Linked DNA regions of Lytechinus pictus. The protein of the gene in region 1 purifies or fractionates together with the protein of each later gene. This does not show direct contact. Links are inferred from orthologs where the notes say so. Each region holds a gene or a part of one and is shown in the gene's direction. Other genes may lie near its edges. The genes, in order: mitotic spindle assembly checkpoint protein MAD2A-like, anaphase-promoting complex subunit 4-like and E3 ubiquitin-protein ligase RNF8-like.

Region 1 (7,884 bases):
TCTATGCTGATTAATAATATTGAATATTAGCATGCATTGGCAGCGGAAGCATCAAAATTTAGGGGCGGAGCGGAAAAACTGTTTTCACCTACATTTTCCCAGTCAGCTGCTAAAAGCTGATTTTCTTCATATTTTTGTTTATGGGGTAGTCCACACTAAAGTCTGAAGTTTTAGTTTTCCTTACAAACAAGATGAGATATCTAATAAGGCAGACGCATTACAGGATTTGCAACCCGTGGGCCCCACCTGAGTTTGGCGCCCTTGTGTACTTTTAGAAAAATGGCGGCCCCCATGAACATGAATGATGACCAGGATGGGTGTCTATACAAACATTTTATGCAAGCACGAAGCGTGAGCTGAAAAAAATGATATTCTGACCTAAAATTTAGACATTCTAAGCACTTTTGGTCCTCAAGCAAGACGGGTATTTACTTAAACATTTTATGCGAACGCGTAGCGCGAGCAGAATTTTTTTGACATCCCGACCCAAAACCTGATATTCTAAAGCACTTTTTGTAACCATGAACATGCAAGATGGGTATACCCATATCTATCTAAACAATTGATGTAAGCGCGAAGCGCGAGCTGAAATATTTTGGTAATCTGACCTAAAATCTAGACATTCTTAGCTCTTTTGGTAATCATGAACAGAATGGCTATCGAACTAAACATTGTATGCGAGCGTGAAGCGCGAGGTGAAAATTTTGGATATTCCGACCCAAACCTGAGGATTCTAAAGCACTTTTTGTGACCATGAACGCGATGGGTATCTTTCTAAACAATTGATGCGAGCGCGAAGCGCGAGCAAAAAAAAAGATATCCGGACCCCAAAGCTCAGATTCTATGCACTTTTTGAAACGATGAACAGGATTTTTGTTTTGTAATAATATTTATTAATCATTCAGTTCAAAGTAATGGTACATTGTAAAATATTACAAATCAATATTAACAAAACACTGTTCACAAAAGACAAATAATTATCCATAATACAAATAATCGTTCATGTCATGGTATTAACATATATGATATACAGTGGATAAATTCAGTAACAAAAATCAACAATTAATAACCAATATAAATTCACAAAATCATACAATAGCTATGCAGAAAATTGATTGCTCGACATTGATTAAACTGAATGAAATTTATAATATAAAAAAAACCGGAAAGGGTTCGAGAGCTCACTCCCCACACACGTCCATAAAATAACGAAATCGCTCTCACACCCAACCCCCCCCCACACACACACACAGACAAGACACAAAACAATTAGACAATACAAACAAAAACAATACAAAAAATAAGAAAAGCAGGAAGAAGGAAAGAAAGAAAGAAAGAGAGAGAGAGAGAGAGAGAAAAAGAAAAAAAAAGAGAAAGAAAGAAAGGAGATAAGTGACATGCAAAGTAAAGAAAAGCGGACAGTTTATAGTGACAGACAGACCAGCCAACCCCGCACGTGTGCAAACCGGATAAAGCCATCCCTTCCTCATCCTACTTAATTAATTGCTTTTTAGGTGTTCCCACTTTTTATAGTGCTGTGTTAATGTTTTTCGCTCTATAGCAATTTTCTTTTCTTCTTCTTTACTTTTAAAAAGCTTTACTTTTATCTCTTCAGCAGTTGGTAGTTTATGATTCCCCCTTCCGTGATATATTAAAAATTTGATAAGTAAAATGATATGATTTAATAATTGTCTATTTTCTGTCGTCTCTTCTAATCCAACATGGATATCCTTCCACTGTAAGCTTTTAAGAATCGGAAATTTTAATATATTGCTACACAATTTCCATAATACTTTAACCATTTCACATTCGTAAAAAAATATGTCTATAAGTTTCTTCATCTTTACCGCAAAAAGAACATTCATTACTCGATACAAATCGAAACCTATATAAATGGTGGTTAACAAAGATAATATTGTATAATAATTTATATTGAAACTCTCTTAACTTATTATCTAATGTGCAAAATCTTGGACGATAAAATACTTTTTCAATTTCTTTTTCAGACATGTTATATGACGATTCGAGATTGTAAAAACTGACAGGAGTGTCGGCAATCTTGTTTATACATGATCTATACAGCTGTTTTGAACAAACTGACTCAAACTGGAAAACATTTTTAAAGAAAATAAATTCAATCTTCAAACCATCAACTAAGGTATTATTTTTTAATTCGACTTTCCATTCTACAGGAACATGTGCAAATATTTCATTAATTGTTACTATTTCGTCGTCATTTACACCCATAGATCTAAAATAAGTATTTGATTTAAGTTCACCGTGTTCATCTACAATATGGTGCAATTTGTATGTGTTTTTTAAGAAAATATTTTCATGAAAATACGCTTTTCCTTCATTTTTAATATACCTGTTATTGAAAAAAATTTCATTTCTTTTATTACTTATGTCCTTTTTGATGAACACAGTTATATCAAACCAAATACTTAACATTTCCTGGTAGTACTTTGGAATTTTTATATTGATCATATCAGGTGTAAAATTACAGTAAAAAATTAAATTACCACCTAATGGTCTTAGCAGAAATTTGAAATATTTTTTCCATTTCACTTTCTGGTCACCGTTTACCAGTCTTTTGACCCACATCACTCTCTGTACCATTACAAAAAGTTTAAAATTGAGCATTTTTATTCCCCCTTGTTTATATCCCAGATACAATGTGTTTCTTTTAATTTTATCTTTTCCTCGCCATAAAAAGTCGAAACAAATTTCTTCAATTTCTTTAAAAGCCCATTCCGGCATAGGCGTTAAAGAACTTACATAAATCAATTTAGAAAATGCATATGTTTTTAGCAGATGAATCTTTCCAAACAAAGTTAGATCTCTTTGTTTCCACCAATTTAATAACTTTTTAATTTTGCTTAATATTTCTTTATAATTCATTTCTTCAGCAACGTCAGGATTTAATGAAAAGACAATACCTAGAATTTTAACCATATCAACTTGTTTCCCAAAAGGGAAAGGGTGAGTAAGGCTTACAGAGGGTCCTAGAGGCAAAATAAACGTTTTATTTTTGTTCATCCTAAGTCCAGATGTCTTCCTAAAATTTTCAAGAATTAATTCTAGTCTATATACTGAATCTAAATCTTCTACGAATATAGTCATATCATCAGCATAAAGTATTTGTTTAACTTCCGTTTCACCAAATCGAATACCCTTTACTAAATTATCATTACGAATACAATGCGTTAAACATTCTATACAAAGTATAAAAAGGTAAGGGGAGAGGGGATCCCCTTGTCTTAGCCCCCTCTCGATTGCAAAATAACCGGTCGATTTCCCCCCATTAAAGACACAACTCAGCGAGTTGGTATAAAGAACATTAACCCAGTTACTAAAAATCGGCCCAAAACCAAACGATTTAAGCACCCTTTGAAGGAAGGAATGTGAAATTGAGTCAAACGCCTTTTCAAAATCGATTGCAACTAAGTATCCTGGTTTATTAAAATTTGATGTATGAAAAATCATATCGTTTATTATTCTTACAGCATCGCCAATATTCCTATTAGTTAAGTAACCTACTTGGTCGCCTGACACAATATTATCCAAAATGGTCTTAATTCTTTTAGAAAGTATTTTGGTTAGGATTTTATAATCTACATTAAGCAAGGAAATTGGTCTATAATTGCTAATAAACATCGGATCTTTACCTTCCTTATGTATAATTGTAATTATTGCTTGTTTTTGTGAAGGTGACAATTCTTTATATTTCATAGCATCATTAAAAGCATTTAAGACTAGGTCACCTATTACCTGCCAAAATGTAATATAAAACTCGACATTTAAACCGTCATTTCCTGGTGATTTATTTAATTGCATTTCTTTTAAAATTTCAATACAATCCCCCTGGTTTATTTTCACTTCGCAATGATTTCTTTGGTTTTCGCTTAGTTTTGGTAAGTTACTAGGAAAAAAACAGTCACCAGGTTCTACCTCTCCTTTAGAATATAAGGAAGAATAAAATTCTTTTATTTCTTTTAAAATACTAGTTTCGTCATTAATTACATTTCCATTAACTTTAAGTTCTTTAATAAAACCTTTCCGACCATTATAATCTACCAGTTGTTTAAAATATGCAGTTTCTCGTTCTCCACTTTCAAACCATGGGGCTCGAGATCTGATTTTAATACCTTCATTTAAGTACGCATATATTGTTTTTAGCTCACTTCTTTTTCTTGCCAAAAGATCAATCAAAATATAATTTGTGTTCGATGATGTTTGCTGTAATTGAACTTTCTCTTCCAATTTCATAATTTCCTTTTCTAACTTATCAACCTTCTCTTTTCTTTCTTTAGCTTTTTTCTTAGAATATTTTCTTGTGAAATTTCGAATTTCCATTTTAACATAATCCCACAGTATTCTATTATCCATAATCTCTTCAGACAGCTGAAGTTTTAGACGAGTTATTTCCTCTTTCAGGATGGTCACGATGCGATCATCGATGCGATCGATGAGCGAGATGCTGACTTGAAACGGTAACACTTGAATTACTGCATTATTGCATTATGAAGGGTAATAAATAAATCCCGTCCGCCCGCGGAAGCATGGGTGTATACCGCCAAGATGTTCTAATTATAATTTACCGTTAGCATGGCCCTGGGAAGCGGGGGCGCTGGGATGAAGCACCCCAAAATTTTCTTTGGGAGTGCTGCTGGGGCAGCAACCCAGGAATTATGTTAGGTGTTAAAACTAATGGAGAAAGGTTACGATAATTACCTACACTCATGTAGTGAAAACCTTTTTTTTAAACATATTTTTTCTTTTTTGCTTGTCAAATTACGTACATCAGCACCCCCAGTAAAAAAAATCGTTCTATAGCACAGGGCCCTGAATATTAGAGATTAGTATGCTGTGCAAACCCTTCACTCAAGTTAAGGGTCTGAATGTGCAGCTAACTGATGCATTGTGCACTGAAGGCCCTCTCACTCGGGAATTGAAACAGCAAGTTAGTCTTTGCGTGGAAAACTTGTGGATGTGTTGAAGGTCTAGTCCACCCCAACAAAATGCTGAAAATTTTATCAAAATCGGATGTCAAATAAGAAAGTTATGACATTTCAAAGTTTCGCTTATTTTTAAAAAAATAGTTATATGAACGAGCCAGTTACATCCAAATTAGAGAGTCGATGATGTCACTCACTCACTATTTCTTTTGTTTTTTATTGTTTGAATTATACAATATTTCAATTTTTACGAATTTGACGATTAGGACCTCCTTGTCTGAACCACAAAATGTTAGAATAATGGAATTCCACGTATTCAGGGAGGAATGAAACTTCATTTCACATGACAATGACGAGAAAATCAAAATATTTAATAATTCATATAATAAAATACAAAAGAAATAGTGAGTGAGTGATGTCATCAGTTCCCTCATTTGCATACCGACCGGGATGTGCATATAACTATTTTGTGATATTAAGCGAAATGTTAACACGTCATAACTTTCTCATTTTCCATCCGATTTTGATAAATTTTCAATGTTTTGCTTGTTGGATTTTTCTCTTTTTATTCGAATCAAGGCAAGGTCTGACGTGACATGCCTGCAGAGTCTAGACTAGTACGACCCTGGAGGCTGGATATATAGACCAATCACATCACGTTGTTTACAAGCTCGGAGAAGATCGAAAAATGGCGGGGACAGCTACTAAAACTAAAAACACAATTACCTTGAAAGGATCAAGTGAAATTGTTGCAGAATTCTTCTGTGAGTATCTTTCCAACTCAAGCGATATTATTCCTTAGATGACGGTAAATTCCCAGTTGAAGCGATGAATTTAAAGAAGTTTAGTTCAGTGGAGCGCTCGAGGGAGAGTTACGCGCATGGAGTTAGTTCAGTCCCATTCGTTGTGAATTGTGCCATGTTCAAAATCTTATGATGCTGATTGCATAAATTTAATTTATTGTCGACCTGTCAATTTCCTTGATATTGTAATTGAGTTTTTGCTACAGATGTAACTTTTAGAGTACTAGACTGTAATGTGGCATTCTTAATTTGACCCCCCCTCGAATTTTCCGCTATGCCGCAGCGCAAATTTTTTTGAACGCGTCGCCGTCGCTCGCTGACTTTACTTTCAAATTCAAGTCTTGCTCATCTTTTGAGACCGATTTTGCCTCGCCCAAGTACCGTATGGGCACTAGTATTCAACCCGGCATAATTCAAAGATTTTGACAAATTCCCCCAAATATTTAGAAATAGGTCTGATTAGGGAATTCATCTTAATTTCAGAATCATACCTTTGAGTTGACTATTTCCAGGGTAATCTGTTGTCGGTATTTTCTTTAAAGTTATCAATCTGTCGACTGTATGCGTGAAGGATCGAATTATGCGGCGATGACCTTTTGCACTGAATTGCACTAGTATTCAACCTAGTGATGATAGATAGCGAATCTCAAAATGGTTTAGATTGCTAAACTAGATCTATGTAAGTCTCTGGCGCTGGCTTTGATTAATTACCTGTTTATGTTTGGTCTCGTCTCAAATGATCTAGTCCATTGTCGGATGGGACAAGGTCAAGGGCAGATTGAGAGACAGGGCCATCTTTCATCGCTAGGTTGAATACTAGTGCCAAAAACCATCGTTGTATAATTCGATTGCCCGCACACATAGTTGATGGGTTGAAGGAAAAAATAACGGAAAAAGAATAACCAGTATGCAGTATTTGCTCTTTAGTCTTGGAAATAAGATGGGTCTGAAATTCAGGTTAATTCTATATTTCTATATATTTGAGGAAACTCTCCAAACGGGTTCAATACTAGTGCCCTTACGGTACCCGTTTCCGAAATTACGCGATATTTTGTAAGTGCATGGCGGTCCAAAAATTGCTCAAAAACGTGATTAAGTCAATGCAAATTGTGTTTTTCAACCAAAAATCATCATCATAAATGATTATTTTTACTTTTGTTGGTGTCTAACGTTAGACCTAGATCAGTAGATGGATTTATTTTATGATATTTATGAATGCAAAAGGGTCCCAGACAGAGTTCATAAAAAAAAACAATAAAAAACAAAGGTTTGAAAAAACAAATAAATACATAAGAATAAAAAAAAACGGCCTTATCGTGAAATTTGTCACCTCTCTTGTCGTGTGTGTCGGTGTGTGTGCGATCGTTGTGTACAAAGTCAATGGGAGTGGAAAGATGTCACCACCGCTGACGAAATAAAAGGCAATGAATGGACTGGTGACATAAACCACGATAATGCCAAAAAAACAATAAGAAATTAAGATAGATCTACATAGACTATAGGAAATTAATTATTTTTCAGCAATTTTTTTGTAGATTTTTGTTAGAAATGTAAAAATCTATATGTTCACCAAAAATTTGCATTCTACTAGCTATATAAATTGAGTTATTAAAGGCAAAAACATACACAAAAACCAAAATTAGGGCAAATTTCATACGCTTATTTGCTTAATTAATAAAAAATATAAGCAATTAATTTTTTGAAAATTTTACTTTATAATCTTGCAGTTTACATCCGGCTCTATGTGCGTGCAAATTTTCACAGCAATCACGCAATCAACAGCCGAGATCTGAGTGGGGGGGGGGGGTGAAATTCCCCCCCCCCCCCCCAGTATATGTTGGTCTGAAATGGCCCAGTTAAAATGGGTTTAGTAATTGTGTTTTCTTTCTCTAGATTATGGCATCAATAACTTGTTGTACCAGCGTGGCATCTATCCAGCAGAGACATTTGCAAGATGCGACATGTATAAGTTACCCCTTCTGACGACCACAGATGAACACCTCAAAGCTTACCTGTCAACGGTCATGGATCAACTCAAAGGTTTGTCTCTCCCCTTTCATGTCTTAAAGGTCAAGTCCACCTCATAAAAATATTGATTTAAATCAACAGAGAAAAATCAGACA
Region 2 (8,005 bases), on another chromosome or scaffold:
TGTGGCACTGGCACATTGACAGTCCTTAGACAGCACAACATTTGGTAAAAGTCTTATGAGGTAACGGTACATGTACCTCGAGCGAAGTTCGTGCAGGCTCCACTCCAGTTCATTACCGCTACACTATGCTCCACCTACCCGAACTTCGAGACCGTGAACTCGATCTGATATTCCGAGTGACAAAGGTGGGATATGTGCGAGGTACCGGGTCCGGTCCGAGCTCATGCGATGTTTTGAAATCGGCAGCGAATTATTTATGTGTGAGGAACTTCATGTTGGCTCTAAATCACCAATTTTGAGACTGATAGAAGCATGGAAAAGAAATGAAATTTTGTGTAAAGTAAGAATATTAGTTTTAATTGTTTTTAAAGATCGTGATGTTGCATGAATTTTATATTTTCCCCCCATGAAATCCCACCTTTGTCACTCGGAATATCAGATCGAAATCACGGTCTCGAAGTTCGGGTAGGTGGAGCGTAGTGTAGCGGTAGTGAAGTGGAGTGGAGCCTGTACCAACTTCGCTCGAGGTACGGTACATGTAATTAACCTGTGTTTTTAATGAAGTACAGGTAAAGTTTTTCTCTACTAACCAGCAACCAGATGAACCTCTTCCGACACCAGGGCCTATTACGTTATAAAGTTACTATTACGGTAACTTTGCTATCCAACTTCCCTGAAATCCTTGATTTTGATTGGCTGATGAGCGATGTTACCATGGTAGTTACCAATGGATAGCAAAATTACCATAATGATAAAAATGCGATGGCCCCTTGAAATTTAACAAATTAATTTTTCATGAAAAGAAAAGAAAAAATAAATCTTCCTCATTTCATGCTCTTTCCTTGAACCAGATTCACCAGTGAATGTGTAGAAAATAATGAAGTCTCTGGATTACCTGACAGTATGGCTGTTTTTAAACATTGCCAGGGCTTTATCTAATCCAAAGCCACCCTCTGTGCCCCCCCCCCCCCCCCCCCCCCGCACTTCGAAATTTTTGTGCCTTTCAAACCTTTTTTTTTTATTTGTGCTGAAATATAAGAATATACCCTTTTAAACAGTGGCCTTGACATAAAAATATTGACATCTAATACTTGCACAGCATAGTGACAAAAAGGAACTTACAGATGTAGTATGATTCTAGTTGTTGTCTTAATCTGACTTGCTGTAGCTCTTCTTTATACCTGCTGTTAATAAGATCTGTCTGATCTCTAGTCTTCTTCATAGTCAGCATTCTAACAATCTTTCCTTTGTTCCTGAAAAACATAAACACATATTGGAAAAAATGTTAAAGGCCAAGTCCACTCCAACAAAAAGTTGATTTGAATAAAAACAGAAAAATCCAACAAGCATAACGCTGAAATTTCATCAAAATCGGATGTAAAATAGAAAGTTATGACATTTGAAAGTTTCGCTTAATTTCACAAGTTATATGCACATCCTGGTCAGTATGCAAATGAGGAGACTGATGTCATCCACTCACTATTTCTTTCGTATTTTATTATATGAAATATGACATATTCTAATTTTCTCCTCATCGTCAAGTGAAACAATGATTAATTCCTCCCCAAACATGTGGAATTAGCATTGTTTAATACTACATGGTTCAGTCAAGTTGGTCCTTATTGTCAAATCTGTAAAAAATGATATAATTCAAACAATACAAAAACAAAAGAAATAGTGAGGGACATCATCGACTGTCTCATTTGCATGTCACTGAGTTGTGTGTATCACTGTTTTGTGAAAAATAAGTGAAACTTTAAAATGTCATAGCTTTCTTATTTTACATCCAATTTTGATGACATTTTCGGTGTTATTCTAGTTCGATTTTTCTCTATTGATTCAAATCTACATTTTCTGGAGAGGACTTGACCTTTATTCCTTTAATGAATAAAAATCATGAATAAAACCCTGTTCACAGTGGTGTAAAGAGCATGAAATAAAATTAAAAAGGAAAGAGAAGGATGAATGACATAATTTTCTGAATATTGTCAAAATCTTTCACAAAATTTGATTTTTGTAATGAAAATGTTGAAATTTTTGCTCCCTCACTCGCAACTTTCATTTCAAAAATATAATTTTTGCCCGATACGCCATATCTAATCCCAGCCACCCCTCAAAATGTTCGCCTCATTACGCCATTGCCTGTTCATTTATGGCCAAGATATTTTTGGCTCTTGCCCCCCCCCCCCCCCCCCCCCTGCTGGCCACACGACCTCTGGCTCTGACCTCTCTGTCTCTGTTAATTATTATTATGGCTTTCCCTGGCCCTGCCAGACCCTGGAATGATTCCAAATTAAATTCCAATTGCCAGAATAGGCAATTAGCTAAGTCCCACATAAACTTGTAGAGTTAGCTTGTTCTACTTTTCGATTGTCTTAATTTTACGTTTACTTTAATAGACTTTTGATGCACGGAGCCTAACAGTAACACATAAATATGATTGGCTCTATTCATTTGTGTGCACTAGAAATCGCACGCGCTTATATACGAATTACGATGAGTATCAACCGGGCAGAACGTTACTCGACTCAAATTAGTCTAACTGAACTAAAGAAAGCTAAAGTCGAAACTTACTTTCGGACATAGAAAAAGAACCAAAGCGAAACGACGATAACAACCATGTAAATGTTAGTTGCTTCATTCCAGTGATCGATGTGTTCCTCTGGAGGAAGACCATGGTTTTCATGCGCCATTTGGATTATTTTTAGGATCAGTCAATCAATCGCATAAAAATAACAATAAATAAAACCGTCTATGGCAGGCCATAAGGGAACCAATTATTTAGTGTCATGTGCATAGCATGCAGACTTGGAGAGAAAGTGCCAAAATGGAAACGCCATTTAAAGGCCCTTCCTAATCATGTTAAATCAGTTATGATTTTTCATATTTTAAAGAGGTATTGATTAAAGCAAACCTAAGTCACAATTACTAGTGACTTATAAATTTTGTCTTCAATCTTAAAAAAACAATAAATTATATATGTATTTCTGATGTAATTTTGTCCCACTCAATGAACCTAATATAAAACGTGTATGTTGATGGTTAAAAATAAACCACGCATCGGATGTGTTTTGGCAAATGTACTTTTTTATGAAGAGGAGCAGTGTCTTGCCTTTATATAAATTCTGATTTGTATATCGAACATGTCGACTGAGCAAAATTGGCAGCCGCACATTTGGTTAATGTGTAAAAAATTGTGGCTGGAAGGTTGTTATATCTCTAAAGACTAGCGACTCAAGTGCATGAGCAATTTTATTTTCTTGAGATAGGGCTTGATCGAGTTATGATCTATATTATTATATTTTGTAATCACTTTCTATATAGACGTAAAAGAGACAGAATGGCAAAACAAGCGTGGAATATATGACATTCAGTTTGACTTTATAAAATCATTTCACTGTAATATAAATATTCCTCTTTTAAAAAACATTTAATTCTTTACAAATATGTTTAAGTCTACATTTAGTTTAGCTAAATCCCACAAAGTTATCGCTCCAATTCATGATGAATGTGTATACTAGGGCTGTATACCCTAAATTATGACGACGTGAAGGATATGAAATAGAAATGTGTTTTATTATATATCAAAATGTTATTTCGATACTGGTGCCCGATCGAAATAAGATATCTGTTATTTTTTCATGGGGAGTTGTTATATCTTTTCAATCATGGAATTGGCTGAAAGATTTAGTATTCAATAGCTTTCTAATATGACTGATAATTTGTAGAGTAAGTGCAAGTGCTGCTTTTAATAATAAAAACATCACCCAGATACTAGGGGTACTAGGGCGCTTTTTTTAGTGAGGCCAAATAATTCAAATCCGAACGGCGAGGTGCCGTGGCCGAACGATCTATATAGCCCCTGACTACGCCATATGGAGAATTAAATATGACAAATTAAACATTTTTGTTTAAGAATTTGTTTAAACAACTACTGTACGACATAGTAAACAGCGCAAATATAGAAATAAAATATGACATGTACCGGGTATGCATCATTGACCGTCAAAGTGTGTCACGTGTTTAGATTTTTTTTAAACCTGCTGAATTGTTAGATTTTAATTCTAACGTCCGCAAAACATCTAATAATTAATGAACCCTTTACACTTTTGTAATATGTTAGATGACACTCAAGTATTACTGGCTATTTTAAAGCTTTCGACTGGCTTAAAGAAAAAAGGTTTAACTTTTAATAAAAACATGCACTTTTACTAAGGAACATTGTTAAAAGCTTTTTGCTTTCACAAATCATAATTATTTCACAAGCATAGTTTATTCGAAATTTTGGCCCACCCCCTGAAAAAACGTATAATAATAATAATAATATAGAGTATTTCTAAAGCGCCAAATCCACATTGATTATGTGCTCAAGGCGCTGTTTAAGAAAAATATATTTCATTCCCACAGTGACTCTCCACGAATCACTTCATTTGCTATGAAAATATATTTAATTTTTTATTAAAAAAACATATCACTTTTCGCAAGCATATAGTTTTTAACAAAATAATTGCTATGGGTGTTTTTAGTAAAATATTTAACTTTCTTGGAACTTTTTTTGTGAAACATTTTTTGTGAAAAGTGAAAAATACATTTTCTTAAAGTGGAATATTATGTTTGTGAAAAGATAAATGCATTGTTTTCGTAAAAGGAAAAAATATGGTTTTATACAAGAGAAAAATATATATTTCTCAGAATGAAATATTTATCCAAAAATGAAATATATTATTGTTGGAGTAAAATGAATTTTAATTTTTAATTCTTAGTTTATGGCGTCCCATATTGATCTTCCAATCCGATCCCGCGCGGAGCCTTGTTTTTTACGTTGTAAGTCATTTGTTCTAAAGTTCTGATTAATAATTTTATGAAATAGAATAGAAAATATAAATAGAGAGTCTACCTTTCATATTAACGCATCATACTTTACCCTACAAATACAATACCGTACTGGTAGTCGATGCCATGATTTTCAGCCAGGCAGGGCCAGGGGCACTGCCAGTGCCACTGACCGATCCGAGTGAGGCTGATCTGGGCTGCTACTGCTACCGGTAGCTCCGCCGCCGCCGTAACTTCGGGCGCGGGCCGAGCTCGTGCTAAGACTTGAGTCTTGACACCGGCGCGGCAAAGCTTTTGTCTTTTGACATTTTTGTAGGCCTTTTACTGAATTATGCATAGAGCCATATTTTGGTATGTACTTCCACTCTCCCATCATATATGTTCTAGAAAATTTAAGTCTAGTTTCACGAAGAAAGAAATACTCCCAGAAACAAAATTCACTCGAACTCTAGTCTAGACTAGAGTCTAGTCTAGTAGTAGTACCATGAGTACCGTTACTACTAACTTAGTAGTAGTAGTACTAGTAGTACTAGTAGTCCCGTAGTACTGGTATACTATGACAGTAGAGGCGCACGGCCAATATAGGAGACTCTCTCCAATAGGGGAGACAATCTCCCAAATTGGAGACTTGCTTTGCAAAAGGACAAAAGAAACAACACCAACAAAAGCATGTTTTTTCCACCCAAAATTTTGTCTCACTGAGGTCAGAAGCCCGTTTGTTTTGTGTGTGATTGACAACAAAAATCCTTATCAAAAATATCAAAACAAAAGTAGACGGTGAATTTTTAAAGTAGTACTAGTAGACGGTGAAAAGGGGTAATTTTGCACGAGGAATCTGCTTATCACATTTTTATTTGCCGCCAAGGTAATCCTTTTGCAGCAAATGTAAATAAAGGAAATTGGTCTCCAAAACTGGAGACTGTCTCTGAAATCGGATACCCAAATTCTTTACAAAAGTCTCTGAGTCTGATATTGGAGATAATCTCCCACATTGGAGACAGTCTCCAATATTAGCCGTGCGCCTCTACTGTATGAGGCAACTTTAAGTTTAACCAGAGCAAATTGAAATTTTGAATTATTGTTTTTTTTTTCTGCTGCACATCCATATTCCATTTCCAACAAAGAATCTGTAATAGAACAACAACATTACTGAATGACAAGGTTCATTGGTCTGTATTCGTTGGGCATCAAAAATCTATAAAGAATTCTGTAATTGTAATTATGATTCTCATATTTACTCTATACTATAGCTTTGCCATTGGCTTTGATGGGCTGTCATCTTAATGGTTTTGTTGAAACAGACAGGTCCTCATCTTGACCAAGGCATACCTTATAGATCTGAAGAAGCCACAGGATCACCCACAATGCAGCAGTCATTCCGTCAGCTTGAAGAGAGAAACCTCTCTGTAGAGGTTACCCTTATGCAGTGGTCCCCCAAGATGGATCTCATTGCCCTAGCCAATGAAAATGGAGAGGTATGTTCCTACAAAGTGTAGTATATTTAGGTCAAGTCCACCCCAGAAAAATGTTGATTTGAATAAATAGAGAAAAATCAAACTCAATTCAATTCAAATTGTTCAATTCAAATTGTTTTATTCTCTCAGTAAAACCTTTACATAAAAAACAAATATAATACAAAGTTAAAATACATGTATTACAAATCAGTGTAAAAATTGCATTATGATTCAGAATCATACTAGCATATCACAAAAAATTTCATCAAAATCGGATGTAAAATAAAGTTATGGCATTTTAAAGTTTCGCTTATTTTTCACAAAACAGTGATATACACAACTCGAGTGACATGCAAATGAGTCAGTCGATGATGTCCATCACTCACTATTTCTTTTGTTTTTTATTGTCTGAATTACACAATATTTCATTTTTTATAGATTTGACCATGAGGACCAACTTGACTGAACCATGTAGTATTAAACAATGTTAATTCCACATGTTCAGGGAGGAATTAACCGGTGTTTCACTTGGCAATGAAGAGAAAATGAGAATATTTAATATTTCATATAATGAAATACAAAAGAAATAGTGAGTGGATGTCATCAATCTCCTCATTTGCACACCGACCAGGATGTGCATTTAACTGTTTTGTGAAATTAAGCAAAACTTTAAAATGTCATAACTGTCTTATCTTACATTTGATTTTGATGAAATTTTCAGTGATATGCTTGTTGGATTTTTCTATTTTTATTCAAATCAACTTTTTGTTGGGGTGGACTTGTCCTTTAACAGTAAATTACCAGTTGGTCTACACCAGGGTTGAGCTCAATTACTTTCTTCAATTACAATTACGTAATTGAAGAAATGTTCAATTACAATTACTTTTCAATTAAATTACATTTTTTCAATTACAATTACCAATTGCTTTTGTCAATTACAATTACAATTACTCAAAAAATGTAATTGATTACGTAATTGATCAATTACCTTGTAATTGAGCACAACCCTGGTCTACACTCTTCTTTTTCTTCCTGTTTTGTTCCATCTTACATGGTCTTATCTTAATCCATCTACAAATGGCTATCTAACCGTTTGGTCTAATTGCTTTGTAGCTCATTTACCATTTTGTTTAATTTCCAGTTAGACTCTGCCCATTTTGTAGGGAAAAAAATGAAATACAAGTCTAAAATGGATACTTGTAATTCATTGAAATTAAATTTGTGTTTGATTTCTGGATTTGAGTTTTGATTGCATTGTATTCTGCAGCAAGGCCCATACAACCAGTTCATGAGATTGAGTTTTGGAAGAAATGTTTGCAAGTTGTTGATTATAGTGCACCTCAAAATCACTGGATATGCTGTGAGAAGTTTGGATCTCCCATTTTGCTGCTCACTTCAATCTTAATCACTATCGTTCAGTCAATTTTTTGTTGTATTTTGAATGTTAGGGCTTTTGAAGATAAGTCATTTGCAATAAACCTATTTATTATTGCTTTCACCCCTCTTAATGAATTTCAGCATCTGCCTGATTGCAAAAGTGTGATAAGAATTTTGGGAGAATTTTTGGTAATTCATGTTTATTTTATTAATTTCCATCAAATGTGGAACTTAATAACTCATTTCCATGTTTTACCTTAGTCTCCTGTTAGATCCTGGTATTAAAAGTAAGAAGAAAGTCATTGTGAAAGGAAAATTCAGCAAGGAATTTGGATTCACTT
Region 3 (7,310 bases), on another chromosome or scaffold:
ACCCGTACCGCAACAGGTGCGGGTTACAACATTATTTAAAACGTCAAAAAAAACACAAACAGAAATTAAAAAGAATGGAATTAGCGATTGGGGAACTCTAATATAATGTTCACAATTTTTTTACTGCTTTTCAATGGTTATATAGTTCCGATGATTACACCTTTTTAACTCTCAATGCTTCTATAGGTTATCCTTAATTCATCTATCCCGCTAGTCAATCTATATGCTTCGGATGGGGGGGGGGCGGGCAAAAGTGATTTTTTTTTTTGCTGATCGCTATACGCATCCGATATTTTAATAGAGAATTTTTTTTGTTGTTGTATGTTTGATATTTCTATGTCAGGTTTAATTTTTCTTAAAGTGCTTTTCAAGATTTACATTTCATATTTATTTTTTCAAGTCCTCAAAATTATTGGGGGCATGTATGAATTATGCTTGCTCCCATATTTTAGGGGCGATCGTCCCCTGCCTGCTCCACAATCGATCGAGGCCTCTGTCTCCTGTCATAATTTTTTTATCCATGCTGTCTGACTCCATCCTGTGTTCTGTGTATATACGTTGTATCTACATGTGTGTAAACCAGCTAGTGAAAGAAGAATTTCCTTTATGTACAAGAAAGTTATTCAATTCAATTCAATTCTTAATTGTCACATTCACCCCGATCCCCACGTCTCTTTCTTACCCTAACTTTTATTTAGCTGTATGCGCTTACAAAATTATGTCAAAATGCAAGCTTCGTGTCACCGAGAGCGCACTCCCCCTTTCCCTGAAATTTTTGCACGATTTGTTTCTTTAATTCAGTCAATCAACTATTTGTTGGGGTGGACTTGTCCTTTAACATTTACTAGAAACACTAATGATTGTACAGTTAGGAACCATTTCTTCTGTGTAATTTTTGGGCACATAAACACAATCTATTTTGCTATTTTTTCAGAAGTTATAGGGAATTATTATTAACATTAAGTTATTAACAAAAACACCCCCATTTTAGGATTGATTTATTAATCCTATCCAATATTATGGAAAAAAGATTCTTGGATTGTGTGTTCTACTGTCACAGAACTATATTACTGTGTATCTAAGTGTTTTATTGGTAGTGGACACCTACATTATATATAATCAAGTGTGGTGATGTCTACACTGCATTTTAAAGTTTTAACAGATGTAATCACAGAGTTTTGATTATGTATTAATCTGGGTGGCCTCATTTGCACCATCAGACATGATGAGTTCATAGGCATCCAGTCTGAAAAACAAAGGGAAAGTGGTGAAATTTACTACAGTTCTGGCATGCCCAATAATACCTTACACAAGTAAACTAAGATAAAAGTTAATACACATTACTGGGTAGGTACAGTACTCGCCTCTCTAAGGTGGCAATGCTACTTTCAAAATTTTGATTTTGAGGTGCTGCTGGGTTTGTGCTCCTCCTGGCCATGTGCACTGGGCTGTGAGACGTTCTCTATACTCGAAATCTGTGCTAAGCCTAAGGAACTCAAATATTTTATGAACAGTAATCCATTTGAGCTACCATTCTTGAGCAGTGAGCTAAAAACTCACAGGCAGCCTTATTTACCCCACTCTCCCCTATACATGTATCTTGTGAGGCTGCATAGGCAGATCCAGGGGGGGGGGGCAGGGCCCCCCCCCCCCTCCAGTGGCAGAGCAAAAAAAAAATGAAAAAAGGGGGAAAGAAAGAAAAAAAGAAGGGGAAAGAAAATAGGAAAAACTTAGGAAAAGAGGAGGGAGACGAGTGAATAAAATAGGTCAGGGGAAGTCTTGGAAAATGATTTTAGCATATATTTTCATGTCACTATTAGATGTTTGCTCGCGCTTCGCGCTTGTATAGCCTGTTCAATGAGATACATATCTTGCTCAATAGGCTGATATGTAGCTTAAAATATCAAGTTTTGAAGTCAATATACATAGCATATTTCAGCTTCGACATCAAGCTTTCATTATTTTGTTTGATTTACAAATTGATTTTTTAAAGTGTTCTATAAAATGTCCGTTTTATCGTGTGAATATCATATGCAGTTCTTTGCGCTGTGCGCTTGCATTATTTGATTTGCCAAGTAGGACAACATATTGTCTTTGTTTATTCCATAAGATTCTTTATATATTAATTCTATAACAAACTACTTAAAATCCCCCTTTTATGACAGTTTATCAAAAATTTCGTCTCACGATTTGCGCTCGCATTATCGTTGAAAATATATTAACTCATAAATCCTATGATTATTTGATTTGCCAAGTAGGGCAACATATTGTCTTTGTTTATTCCATAAGATTCTTTATATATTAATTCTATAACAAACTACTTAAAATCCCCCTTTTATGACAGTTTATCAAAAATTTCGTCTCACGATTTGCGCTCGCATTATCGTTGAAAATATATCAACTCATAAATCCTATGATTATTTGATTTGCCAAGTAGGGCAACATATTGTCTTTGTTTATTCCATAAGATTCTTTATATATTAATTCTATAACAAACTACTTAAAATCCCCCTTTTATGACAGTTTATCAAAAATTTAGTCTCACGATTTGCGCTCGCATTATCGTTGAAAATATATCAACTCATAAATCATATTCATGATTACAAAAGTGTTTAAAATATCCAGTTTTCAGGCCTCAATGTTAACAGCTTTTACTCACTCTTTATAGTCTTATTATATTAATAAACATGATGATAACATTTTCATAAATTCCTTATAACTAAATTGTCCCTTTTTCAGAAAGGAATATCGACAAGTTTCATATCGCGCTTAGGAAGAGGAATAGGAAGATAGTCATCATTTTCATATGATGAGAACATGTCCTTAGGCCTAGGTCCAGGTCCTAGGTCAGAATAATAAAAATATCAGCTCGCGCTTCGTACTCGCATCATTTATTAAGTGCTGTCCACATCTACTTCACAATTTCCCTACACAGTGCTTAAATTCACCCTTTTCATATCGGAATATCAATTTTTTCCGCACGCGCTTTGCGCTCGCATTTTTGATTTTCATGATAAAAGATGATGTATTCAGCTTGATCTTTATTCAGAACGTGCTAAAATATCTGGTTTCAGATCAGAAAATCAAAAATTTTCTGCTCTTGATTGCGTTTGCATTATTAATGTAGGAAGATACCAAATTACCCATCCTTTTTCATGATTTACAAAACATGAATAGAGTTTCCAATTTTTAGGTCTGAAATCTCATTTTTTTTCCGGCATCAATTGTTTTGTTTTATACCTATACCGTTGATGATTACAAAAAATGCTTGGAATGTCAATTTTTTAGGTCAAAAGGTCAAAAAAAATTCTGCTCGCGCTTCGCGCTCGCATTATTTAATAGTTAAAATATGTATCGTCTTAATGGCTTACTGCAAAATGTCCTTAACAGGTCCCTTTCTGATCAAGCCAGAATCCATATTAAAAATGTATTCTCGCGCTTCGCGCTCGCAATAATTATCTGGTTACATACGCATCTTGTTCAGGTTCACAAACATTGCCCAGAATATTCAATTTTAAGGACAAAATACATTAAATTCCAATAATTTTCAGCTCGCACTTCGTGCTCGCACTATTTAAATAGGGCTTATGACATTATTACACTTTTTTATGTTGTTTTATAAAAATAAAGCTAAGAAATGACTGTTAGGACATCAGAGTTTTGCCCCCCCCCCCCTAATTTTTCAAGACCAAGAAAAAAAAAATAGAAAAAGAAAGGCATAAGGATGAAATATAGGCCTATTATTTTACAAATGTTATGTCAAAATCTATCACAAACTATGATTTTTGTAATAAAAATGTCGAAATTTTTGCTCGCTCGCAACTTCTTATCAATTTTATGCGATACGCCATATCGAGCCCCCTAAAGATGTTTGGCTCATTACGCCACTGGGAAAATCCCTTCAAAGAAACAAACAAAAAAATCATCTTTGAACGGCTGATCGGGGAGAATATGGGTGAAAAAAAATTTCTGGCCCCCCTATTGGCAGGAGCTGGATCCGCCCCTGAGGCTGTGCCTCAATTTCTAAAATACCGGGTATGTACATATTATTATGGGAAAATATGAAGTAGAAGTGAATGTAACTCAAAAATTCAAAACAGTTTCAGGTTTTTCTGTACATTTAATGATTTATTGCAGCCTTTGTTCTTCATCTGTAGAAAACTTAAATAGGAATCGCCTGTCACACTGCAGCCACAGTTTCACACACAGATTGCGCAACTGCGCATTTTGCCATTGAAATTGCTTGTGCGACAATTGGTGCGTAGTTTTAAGACCCCCTACCATATGCTTAGCCTTAATAGGTAGACAGCTAAAATCTATCTATCTGGAGTAGCAGAATAACTGATGAAACAGAGACTGAAGCTGTCATTCTAGTGCTAACTATAGTATTAAACATACCATGGCATATGTAGCATACTGCTAGCCGAGTGCTAGCCATAATTGTTTTAGGCCCATAAGCTAGCAGAACATTAAATTTAAATAAAAAACAACAACCCACAAACATTATGTTAGTTGTAAGTTTGTTGTACAGGTAGGTGCTCAAATCTACACAGTGCTCCTTGTCTGCGCATGCGCATATCTGCGCAATTTTAATAAAAGAAGACCTGCAACAACCACAAACTTTACACCTGCAATATATTATAGATCTAGACAGATATTGAAAAATCCAAGTCAAAGTGGTGGAAAAATATTGAATTTCAGGCATTTCATGTAACAGCCTCAAAATGCAGTCTTTCTCATACAAATCCCTGAATTGTGTGTAAAGTGAATGGGTGTGCGCCATTGTTTAGTTCAATCAAAATGACTGGCTGTGGGGTTTTTCAAAGAAGATCATATATTTCTCTCAAATTGTTATGAGATTTTTGGCACATTTACTTTCAAGAATATAAGGAACCTTATCAACTTAGAATTTTATCGGATTTGAAATGAATTCACGCTCAATATTAGGTTAAGGTTAGATGCGCTGACATGCCCCACCCCCAGGACACGATGGAATTTACAATGAATAAAGAAAGTTCTATGTGCGATTGTCCCGTTTTAGTTATGGGGGGAACAGGGGTAAGGATGGGTGATCTGTTGTCCAGACAGTCTAGCAGATGAAATCATATTTTGTTTTGGATTTCCGCAACATTGGTGCATTCAATACTAAAATAATTTAGAATATTTGTGCTTTGTAATTTTGTCTGATATTACTTTCAATTCTTAAATAAATGTTAATCTCAAAGTTCCTGAAATTACCGTCTTGTCCGTACAAATTACCTATCCGGACACACAACAATGGGGTATACTGAACAATGAGTTTGAATTTCATATCTTTGTTTTTGGCATAGCCACTGGTCAAGGAATGACAAAATCTATTGAACATCGAGATAAAAACAAAGAGCAATTTTAACTCATTAAATGGTTGTGTAGCAATTAGCAACAAGATGTAAAACAATACACACCAAAAGTGAGGTAATATTAGACAAGGCTCCATATAAACTCTTTTTTTTTGTGATGGCCTGAATGCCACCGAATAAACGTATGGTGCCCTTATATATGGAATAAATATTTAACAAGTTGTGACTACTTTGATCCTTATATTTGCTTCCCAGGCAAGCAATAATCATTTTCGTCCAAATTTCTTCTTTAAATTTGATATGAAGGTAACTGTTGGAAGAGGGATGGATGTGAGCATTCAGTTGCTAGCGTCACAGAACAATCTATTCCTCTCAAGAAAGCACTGTACATTCAAACAAGTGGAAGGTGGAGGATGGACAGTGATTGATAACAAGGTATGTTATGTCATTGAAATTCACATTATTATACTGAATGTTTGTATTTTGGGTCATATTCTTTGTTACTGAACTTTGAACTGAATTTTCAATCGTGTTTTTAGAAAGTTATCCTTTGTCTTGTCTGTTGATGGAGGAAATAAATCCTAGTATTTCATATAGGGGTGAATTATACTTGATTTTTTTAATCTGGAAAAAATTATGAGAATACAACAAGAAACCTGTTCTGATCCCGTACTAAAATTTAAAATTGTACATGTATATCAATTGGGCTATTGAAAATTGATTATCTATTTCATGTTTTCAGAGCCTGAATGGTGTTCAGATTAATGACAATCGGGTAAAACCAATGGAGCCGGCAAACCTGAGAATTGGAGATAAATTAGAGTTGGGTCAGGCAAACAAAGGACAAGTGAATGAGTTTATCTTCACAGTGTGCTGCATAGACCATTCCGCAGAGGAAGTGGACAAACTCCTGAGAGCTTGGAAGAGGAGGGCCGAAAAAATCAAGCTCAAGTTGGCGGCAAAATCTTCTCAACCCATGGACAGCGAAAATAGTGTAAAGTCAGATTCTCAGTCGGGTAGTCTTGGCTGTTCATCATCGGGTGATAGAAAACGAAAAGAAAGAGATGAACAGAATGTTAGAAGTAGTGCATTCAATGAACCTTCCACCTCATCTGATGTAAAGAGGACTAGACTTTCTCTTGATGGTAATCTTAAGAACTCTGGATTTAGGCAGCTCATGGAGGAGGTAGGGGCCAACATGACAGCTGAAGAATTGAAAGCAATAACAGAACTCTTAGCAGAGAAGAAAGGAGAGAACAAAGGAGAGAGTGTACTTGAAAGACTTCGATCGACTGTGAAGAAGCAGGAGGAAGTGGAGGAGAAGAATGCCAAGCTTGAGGTTGAATACAAGACCAGGGTGGAGGAGAAGGAAGAGGAACTGAGGCAAAAGGACAAAGAGCTTGTAGAGCAAAAAAGACTTCAAGAAGAAGCAGTAGAAATGCAAAAGAGACTCTTAGAGGAGAAGGAAGAAGCATTGGCAAAGATGAAATGTGAGATGGAGGAGGTGTTGGAAAAGCAGGTCAAGGAGAAAGAGACAGCTCTAATGGAACAGCTCAAACAACAGAGAGAAGAACTCAAACATGAGAAAGAAAAGGTAAATTGATTTAAATTCACATTAGTGACTAATTCAGAGTAATTATGATTATTGAAAGGTCCAGATTCATTCCACCAAAATCAGTTTTTACACAAAGAATTCTGTCACGGGCCAAATGGGTCATTCCATCTGGATTCACTCAGTGGTTGCACCCGACCCTCTCAGTTTTTTTGTCTCACCTGCATAGCAGAGTGAGACTATAGGCGCCGCTTTTCCGACGGCGGCGGCGGCGGCGTCAACACCAAATCTTAACCCGAGGTTAAGTTTTTGAAATGACAGCATAACTTAGAAAGTATATGGACCTAGTTCATGAAACTTGGCCATAAGGTTAATCAAGTATTACTGAACATCCTGCCTGAGTTTCATGTCACATGACC

The links.
Region 2: the proteins of mitotic spindle assembly checkpoint protein MAD2A-like (region 1) and anaphase-promoting complex subunit 4-like purify together in Homo sapiens (affinity purification with western blotting; 14 studies listed by BioGRID and IntAct, with this or other methods). This does not show direct contact. The link is inferred for Lytechinus pictus from reciprocal best matches to the Homo sapiens genes MAD2L1 and ANAPC4.
Region 3: the proteins of mitotic spindle assembly checkpoint protein MAD2A-like (region 1) and E3 ubiquitin-protein ligase RNF8-like purify together in Homo sapiens (co-immunoprecipitation; 3 studies listed by BioGRID and IntAct, with this or other methods). This does not show direct contact. The link is inferred for Lytechinus pictus from reciprocal best matches to the Homo sapiens genes MAD2L1 and RNF8.

What each region holds. Positions count from the first base shown.
Region 1 is NC_087262.1:14,784,569-14,792,452, reverse strand, and holds the start of mitotic spindle assembly checkpoint protein MAD2A-like, read left to right. Parts: upstream 1-4,784; 5' UTR 4,785-5,146; intron 5,147-5,383; 5' UTR 5,384-5,646; coding exon 5,647-5,722; intron 5,723-7,654; coding exon 7,655-7,801; intron 7,802-7,884. UniProt on the Homo sapiens protein: Component of the spindle-assembly checkpoint that prevents the onset of anaphase until all chromosomes are properly aligned at the metaphase plate.
Region 2 is NC_087256.1:13,044,773-13,052,777, reverse strand, and holds the start of anaphase-promoting complex subunit 4-like, read left to right. Parts: upstream 1-4,781; 5' UTR 4,782-4,824; intron 4,825-4,949; exon of another isoform or gene 4,950-5,184; intron 5,185-6,083; 5' UTR 6,084-6,116; coding exon 6,117-6,308; intron 6,309-8,005. Other genes in the region: small integral membrane protein 19-like, read right to left, coding at 1,123-1,253, 2,575-2,693. UniProt on the Homo sapiens protein: Component of the anaphase promoting complex/cyclosome (APC/C), a cell cycle-regulated E3 ubiquitin ligase that controls progression through mitosis and the G1 phase of the cell cycle.
Region 3 is NC_087251.1:18,828,269-18,835,578, forward strand, and holds the start of E3 ubiquitin-protein ligase RNF8-like, read left to right. Parts: upstream 1-4,069; 5' UTR 4,070-5,639; coding exon 5,640-5,774; intron 5,775-6,081; coding exon 6,082-6,933; intron 6,934-7,310. UniProt on the Homo sapiens protein: E3 ubiquitin-protein ligase that plays a key role in DNA damage signaling via 2 distinct roles: by mediating the 'Lys-63'-linked ubiquitination of histones H2A and H2AX and promoting the recruitment of DNA repair proteins at double-strand breaks (DSBs) sites, and by catalyzing 'Lys-48'-linked ubiquitination to remove target proteins from DNA damage sites.